2 linked regions of the Cricetulus griseus genome follow. The protein of the gene in region 2 purifies or fractionates together with the protein of the main gene of each other region. This does not show direct contact. Links are inferred from orthologs where the notes say so. Each region holds a gene or a part of one and is shown on either strand. Other genes may lie near its edges. The genes, in order: Cul5 and Spsb4.

Region 1 (4,530 bases), about 40 Mb from region 2:
AAGTATTCCAGATGGTACATTTTATAAATGACTTATTGCCCCACAAATGCTAGGCAAGCTCTTAGACACACACACTCACACACACACACACACACACTCTCTCTTTCCCCCTGACTCGCCCCACTCCCAGATGATTTAGAATTCATCTTTGTAGCAGAAGGGCATCGAACCTGCAATCCTCCTGCCTTAGCCTCCTGTAAGCTTACAGGTCTTACCCACCAGGCCTGGCAAATATGTAATTTAAAAATATATAATATATAATATATAAATTTTGCAGGGCGGCAGAGTCAGTTTGATCTCTGTGAGTTTGAGGCCAGCCTGGTCTACAAGGAAAGTTCCAGGACAGTCAGAGCTGTTACACAGTGAAACTCTGTCTCAAAAAACCAAAAATAAATAAATGAAATAAATAAATAAAATTCAAGGGTCCATGGAGCTTGCTGGCCACTAGCCTAGTTCAAGGTTCAAGTGACCTGTCTATCTTAAGGCAATGTAGCCAGGGAGCGATAGATGTCTTCATGAACACCTTTATAAAGGTACAAAAGAATGCTGTTAGTGTGGTGGTAGTGATGCTCGCCTTTGGTCCCAGCTCTCGGGAGGCAGAGGCAAGGAGAGCTCTGTGAGTTAAAGGCCAGCAAAGTCTACAGAGGAGTGCCAGGACAGGCTCCAAAGCTACACTGAGAAAACCTAGTTCTAAAAACCAAAAATAAATAAACTCACCCTAAACAAACAAAACATCCCCAACCCCCTAACCAAATGTTAGGAATTTGCATAATGCAATAACAGCCAACCTGTGAGATCCCTATATAAACTCTATTCTCTTGTTTAGAGATTCGTGATTTGAAGAGACACAGTTTGGAGAAAATAGTATAGGATGCTCTAGGTCTAGGATTTTTTTAAAAGAGTTTTTTGTTTGTTTTTAAGATTTATTACATATATACTGTTCTATCTACAAGCCAGGAGAGGGCACCAGATTGAATTGTAGATGGTTGTGAGCCACCATGCGGTTGCTGGGAATTGATCTCAGGACCTCCGGAAGAGCAGTCAGTGCTCTTAACCTCTGAGCCATCTCTCTCCAGCCCCTAGGATATGTTTGAAGGAGTCCGAGATTAATAAACACTTCTTGAACAAGCCGGGCATTTTTGAGCAGAGTGATGCTAGTTAACACGTTCGTACATCCATTTACTAAACGAGTAAATCTTGACTGGGCGCCTTTTCCCCGAGTCAGTCTTTACAGAGGACAGCAGTAAAAAAAAAAAAAAAAAAAAAAACCCTTTCCTGGCTAATCTCATCCAGAGCTGCGAATGAATCGCAGTCCCCGGATCTGGGGCGGCGAGCGGGTGGGGCGGCGCCGGCTCCAGCCAATAGGGGGCGCGCTCCGCCCTGCTCCCTGCCTCCGGACCCAGCGGCTTGCAGGCTCCTCGGTTGCTCCCAAGCACGCCCCCGCCCGCAGCGTCACGTGACGCCACCACGGAACCCAAGGAGCCGGGCCTAAGCCGAGTTAAAAGTCGTTGCCGGCGGCCGCCGCGAGTGCAACCCGAGAGGCTCACCCGGAGACGAGTGTGGCAGGCCCGGGGAGGTAGATGCTACCTTTTCCCGGTCAGGTCGGCTCCCGGTCCCTTGCCACCATTCGCCGCTCGCGTCTCCTTGAGCCTTTGCATGCGCTCTCTCGCGTGAGCAGGCCCCGGTTACCATGTAGCGGGAAAGCCTGAGGGAGCACGGGTGCCGGGTACGAGCTCAGCGCTGACGGCACGCAGCTTCGGCGTGTGTGGCCCCCCTTCCCCCTTCCGCCCCCCGCATCTCTGCCGCGGCCCGCGGGGCCCTGCTGGGAACTCCGGCCTCCCGAGGAGGCCTGGCCCCGAGCGCCGCCAATTCTCGCCGCCGCCTCTCGCGAGAGTCCAAGTTGAAGGAACATGGCGACATCTAATCTGTTAAAGGTAAGCCCCTGTCTCCAGCCGGGTTTCTGCTCGCGGCCGACGCGTTTAGTTCCTGGGTGAGCACCGGGCTCCGAGTGAGCGGCGAGATGTGAGAGTGTCTCAGGCTTGTCCACCGGAAGGGACCCGGGACGGCTGCCCCGAATACCCCGACGCCGGGCCCTGGCCTCGGGGTCCAGAGGCTTCGGTGGTTGCTCCCGCTGACTGACTGACTGACTGACTGACTGACTGACTGACTGGGAGGGATGCTTTCAAGGGACCAACCCAGGCTGCGGGCGACAGCAGTGTCGCTGGGCCCCCGGCGGGCGGCCCAGCCATTGTGACTCTTAGGGTCCGTTTCTTCCGAAGCGAGAGTCAAAGACATAATAGGAAAATTCTCGACAAAATGCTGCCTAGCAGGTTTTGACTAGGACCCCCCCCCCCCCGCTTCCTCCCCGGTTCCTTAATTTCTGTTCTCACTCTGCCTCCAGGAAATGCGAGTCAGATAGCAGTGCCTCCCACTCCGCCCCGTTTCTCCCTTTTCTGCATGTTACATCTTCCCTCCAGTTCTCTTGTTCTTGACTTCATGTTCCCATGCTTTTTGTTCCTCGAGGAACTGTCTCTCCCAAGCCTCGACTCCCCTTAGAGGACATCAGGTGACACCCGATGAAGTGCCACCGTCTTTTTAGCTGGTGGGAAAGTTTTTCTTATCAAAGAAGACATTGGGAAGTTTTTAAGTGTCAAGAAAGGCCCGGGGTTGGGGGATGGGGGGCAAATTCTGTTAAAAACTTAGGTAAGGACTGAGGAAGATATGGGGCAGGTTTGAGCTATTTGTGTTTTTAGTTAAGAGTCCTGTCCTAAAAGTATTGACTGAAATGGGGGTAGTGATTACCTGAGGGAAAATAAACACTGTATTCAGGCTCTGTGGATGAATAATAATAATGAAATAGAGAATGTGCCCTCCCCCCCCCCAAAAAAAAGCAGGGTCTCTTTAGCCCCATCTTGCCAGAATTTGCTGTATAACTCAGCAGGCCTCAAACTCACAGAACTGCCTCTGTCTGTGCTGAGATTGAAGACTTGCATCACCACCCTGGAGAGTCCTTTAAAAGGACCTAGATTCCCTGAATTTGTCTCTTGTTTTTTTCTTTGTTTGTTTTGTTTTGTTTTTTAAGACAGGATTTCTCAGGTAGCCTTGGCTGTCCTTGAACTAGCTCTGTAGAGCAGTGTGGCTTTGAACTCAGTGATCTGCTTGTCTGCCACCCTCTTCCCCAGTGATGGAATAAAAGCCATGTGCCACCACACCCATCTGAATTTCTGTCTCTTAAGAGCTTCATGGTATTGAGTTCCTTAACCTCTGCCCAAGCTTCTTCCTTCAGGAAGATGAAATTATCAGTACCATTTTTCATAGCCCTGTTGTGATCAAATGATTTACTTATGATGCTTTAAAAACAGTGATTGCACTTAATATGCAATTCACTAAAGCACTAGAACTTCTGTGCCTATTCCTATAGGAAAACCATTGGGCAGTGGCAACACACACTTTTAATCACAGCACTTGAGAGGCAGAGCAGGTGGAGGCCAGCCTGGTCTACAAAAACAAGTTCCAGGACAACCAGGGCTGTTAATACAGACAAGTTGTTACCCTGTCTTGAAAAACAGCTAACAAGAAGAAATAAACTAAAAAGAAAAAAGAAAAAAAAAAAGAAGAAAGAAAAACAGGTAAAACTGGGCCTGGGGTTGCAGGTCATTACCAATATGAAGGTCACTGAGGCAGGAGGATCATGAATTCTAGCCTAAACTAGTAGTAGTGAATTTGGAACCAGCTCAGACTACATTATATATAGACTAATTCACAGAAATGATATTACTGACTCTACTCTGCTTTGTTTTTCATAATACTGTAGCAAAATTCTTTTTAACATTTCATTTGTTTGTTTGTTTTTTGTTTTTGTTTTTTCGGGACAGGGTTTCTCTGTAGCTTTGGAGCCTGTCCTGGAATTCACTCTGTAGACCAGGCTGGCCTTGGCTGTCTGCCTCCCGAGTGCTGGGATTAAAGCCACCACTGCTCAGCTTAATCCCAACAACATTCTTAAAGTAGAGGCAGGCTTGATGTCTGAATTCCAGGCCAGCCAGGGCTATTGTCAGATCCTGTCTTTAAAACAAAAAAGAAAAAATAAATAAAAGATAAGAGTCTGAAGTCAGATGTCAAACACACTGCAGAGTTTTTGATGACCTTGTCTTGTGAAATAATAACCATGGGAAAAAGCAAATTTTGGAAATGAATATTATTTAGTATGTGATTTATTTTTTATTTCTTTATAGTTCTGGTTGGTCTTGGTATTTCCTGTATAGATAGATTAGAAAGATGTACACCACCAGGTCTGGCTTATAGTTTAAGATGGAATTTACAGTATGATGGACATAACAAACAGACATTTGATTCTGTTATCTGCACCTCAGTTGCCACATATTCACCTCTTTGAGGTTTTTTTGGAACTTTTTCTCCTTTTGTTGGAAGGTTGAATTCTGAATACATATTGAAAAGTAGTAATCATCCCATCGGTGGTGGATGGTACACACCTTTAATTCTAGCACGTGGGGAGGCAGAGGCAGGTGGATC
Region 2 (3,809 bases):
GTGAAGCCAGGCTATAGAAACTCAAGATCCACCCCCTCCATGATTAGCTTCCTCCCATAAGGTTCCATTTCCTGAGGGGGAACAGTGTTCAAATATATGAGCCTATGAGGGACATTTCATGTTTAAACCACAATAGCTGGTATGAGTGAGCAAGCCCAATAAAGTGCTGGGATTGAGTTGGGTCATGTAGCTATGTGTGCCTTTCCTGGAAGCTACACTTCCTGTCCCTGCCTCTGCCTCCCGAGTGCTGGGAATAAAAGCTGCACCGCCGCCACTACCTGACATTACTGTGACCTTTAAACCACCTCATAGGTTATGCATTTTAAATAAAGGAAGACCTCATGTTGCTAGGGTGAAACCCAGCAACGGAGGATTTTCACTCCAACCACACAGTCTTTAGCAGCTGCTGGGACACTTCCCAGTATCTAGATTTCTGGTTGTCTGGAAAAATGGCAGAATTCCATAGTACAGGGCTTCTTTCCACAGGCTACAGTCAGCTGGAGGTGAGAGTAGTTTACCTCCTTTGACAGCTGCCAGGAGGAGCTGGGATTTGGGTGTTTGGACCTGCATACAGTAGGTGGCAACAAATGACAGTTGCTAACACTACTTCTTGTTTAATAGCTAGACTTCCACCCAGGGACTGGGCATGAGTGATGCTCTCCAGCTTGGGTCATTTCATAAGTCTCTTTAGCATCCACAGCCCTTATCAAGTGCATTTACTGTTCTAAGTACACATATGATCCTAGATGACCCTCCTGAGTGCCCTGAGTTGGAGTATGCCATGTGACCCTCCTGAGTGCCCCGGGTTAGATTATGACCACCGTGCCACTTGCACAGCCTCCAAACTGCCTAGCCGTCAACGAGGTCAGAGTTCAAGGGCCCTGACCACTGCTGAAAACGGCGGGATTCCCCAACTGCTGCTCTACCTGCTCTGCTTCCCCCCTCCCTAGCCTCCTGGGGCAGGGAGCCTCAGCACCCCTTGCCATCTAGGTCAGCAAACTTACGGTCAAGGCCATTGATGTAGCGCATGGTGACTTCACAGTGGCCCCACACAGCACTCACGACCGGGTACAGTTTCTTGCCCTTGAGGCCACGGAAGGCCACGCCCAGGTACTGGCCATCCACGATGAAGCTGAGCGTGCCCTCGTCCATGTCCAGCACGACCAATAAGGAATCTGGCAGAGCAAAGGCCTCATCTGGCCCCAGGAAAGCAGGGTATGCTACCCCAGGACGGTTCTTGCCATCGTGGTAGAGGCGGCTGCGGCCCAAGTCCCAGCCCCATGACTCGGAGTCGCTGCCCACCAGTGCGGTGTAACCCACTGAGTGCAAAGGGGCACGGGCCGTGGCCACGCCCACCACAGCATGGGTGCCCCGCTGCCTAGCTGGCCAGTGGATCTGCCATGCGTGCAGGCCCCGGGCATGGCCCACTTTGCCGCGGATGCCATCCGTGCTCTGGGCCACCGGGTGGCGGTGGAAGGTGAGGCGGTCGTCATCCTTGACGAAGACATTGAGCGAGCGGTCCTCGGGGTTCCACGCGTGTCTCAGCTGCACAGCCAGCCCTGCCGCAGGCATGTCCAGCAGCTGGTCTAGCCGTGCTGGCCGCCCGGGCTCTGAGCCTCGAAGCTCCCGCTTGGCTGGCCGTAGTGATGGCTCTCGTACCTCCACGGACTTGAGGCTCCCAGAGAGCTTCTGACCCATGGCTCACTATGGGGAGGGGACCGCTGCGGGCCACTGCTACCTCGCAGGAGCCTCCACTCCCCGCAGCCAGGGATGGACCCCGGGGCTGGGAACCAGGCTTCCTGATGGTTGATCTACACAGCCTCTGCTGGGCTGTGGCAGGGGCCCAAGCTCCTGGAAGGAAGCAAAGGGCACAGGTTATGATAGAAGCATGGACAGCCAGCTACTCATCCCTTCACTTATGCCCTGGCCCTACTACATAACTAATGTGCATAATAATTAATGATACTTCATATCTAGTACTTTCTAAGTATATGAGATATGGCAGACACTGTCCTCAATGATTAAGGTTTCCCCATTCATCTAAATCTTACAGAGGTCAGTGACTAGCCAGTCTCACAGGTAATAAGTGACTGAGCCACCAGTCAAACCAAGGTCCTTTGCTCTCAGGTTCTGTTCTCTGGCACCAGAACAACCACCACTGGAAATCACTGTCTCAAGAAGAACTGAACCCCCAGAAAATGGAGTGCTGAGACACAGGGTTATACACATTTAGCATGTGACTCATGAGTTTAGGCTCCAGTTGTCTGGAGCTTAAAAAAATATCTTAAAACCTCCCCAAACCAGGTTTGTAAGACACAGAGCAAGTATCCAGCAGGGTCACCCAGGGACAAGGATTCCAGAAACTATTTGAGGATGGTGTGTTGTCGCCACGGGAAAATAAATGGCAACGAAAGAGGAAAAGAGCTGGTAAATCCAAACTGTGCGGCCAAAGAGCACTGGTACAAATCCTTCTCTATTTAAAGCTTCTCCTTGACTTTACTTTCCTCCTCTGTAAGATGGGATAAAACACCTCCCTTCATGTGGTCTGAAACTTGAAAGATAATATGATAAAAGCTCAGATCTGGAATCCTGGAAGCAGGTGTCCTTTTGGCTTTGTTCTTCAGAGATCCCACAGGGAATTATTTCTCTTGGATACACCAGTGTTTTCCCTGGGTATAGAAATATCATTGATAACATTTATCCTAGTTAACATTCCTTAATACATTTTTCCAGGAGAAGTGACCACAGAAAGGTCATTGAGGCTCCAGGAATCTTGGGGTGCCTGGATGGCCCTAATTATGGGAAGAGGAAGGTAGAGCTTTGCCCTACCTGACTCCCATGGCAGGCAGAGGACCGGTATGTGCCTTCTTCTTCCCTAGCTTGGGAGCAGCGTGGCTCAAGACAACTTTCCCAAGACAAATGAGAAGATAGGATGCTGCCATGCTTTGTCTTGCCTACCCATGATTTCCTATTGGTGATGGTTCATCTTCACTGTCAATTTAAGAAGCACCTATGAGATTAGTAAAGCTCACCTCTAGGTGTATCTATCAGGACATTTCCAGAAAGAGTTAAACAAGAGTGGAATGCCCACCCTTAGGCTGTCGATTCAGATAGAATAAAAGGGGGAGAAGAGAAAGCTCCCTACTGTAGGCATTTTCTCTCCCCTACCTTCCTGACTACCATCGCCATGATGTAGGTTGCTGTGCTGGGCCATGCCCTCTTTGCTATGATAATCAGAAACCTCTGCAATTTCAAGGAAAGGAAATCCTTTCTTCTCTAGGGCATTCTGTCAGGCATTTTGTCATAGCACAAAAGGCTGCCAGACACAGAAAGCTGACACTGAGATACACAGCTGGTGTGGTGACTATACCTGACCACGAGGTATAGAAGCTCCTGGAAGTAATTTGTTAGAAGAATTCAGAAAGTTTGGAGAAGGCAGCCGTAGAAATCCTACAACGCTGTTAGCACAGCTTCCCTGGTGATTCTGAGACCTAAGGAGACCAGGATGCCGAAGGGAATGCCAAAAGCAGTAAGACATCTTATCCAGTTCCAGCAGAAACAATGTCTCATGGGAACTGAACCCCGGGCCACTTGAGTTACTCTCTGGCAAAGAAGCTATGCATATTTTGTCTGTGTCCTGAGACTTCACAGAGGCCGAATTTAAAGGTGAAGAATGAATTAATTTGGGGGAGGGAGTCTGAGGGCAGCCTAGTGTTCAGGCTATGGCTAAGTTTGGCTCTTTGGCCAGATTCACAGTGAGGTCTGGGAGCAAAATACACAGTGGGAAGATTCAGACACTTAAAAATGGA

What was found.
Region 1: the proteins of Spsb4 (region 2) and Cul5 purify together in Homo sapiens (co-immunoprecipitation; 4 studies listed by BioGRID and IntAct, counting the BioPlex papers as one, with this or other methods). This does not show direct contact. The link is inferred for Cricetulus griseus from reciprocal best matches to the Homo sapiens genes SPSB4 and CUL5.

Annotation. Positions count from the first base shown.
Region 1 is NC_048597.1:165,392,156-165,396,685, reverse strand, and holds the start of Cul5 (cullin-5), read left to right. Parts: upstream 1-1,434; 5' UTR 1,435-1,910; coding exon 1,911-1,934; intron 1,935-4,530. UniProt on the Homo sapiens protein: Core component of multiple cullin-5-RING E3 ubiquitin-protein ligase complexes (ECS complexes, also named CRL5 complexes), which mediate the ubiquitination and subsequent proteasomal degradation of target proteins.
Region 2 is NC_048597.1:205,571,339-205,575,147, forward strand, and holds part of Spsb4 (SPRY domain-containing SOCS box protein 4), read right to left. Parts: intron 1,852-3,809; 5' UTR 1,699-1,851; coding exon 1,005-1,698; intron 1-1,004. UniProt on the Homo sapiens protein: Substrate recognition component of a SCF-like ECS (Elongin BC-CUL2/5-SOCS-box protein) E3 ubiquitin-protein ligase complex which mediates the ubiquitination and subsequent proteasomal degradation of target proteins.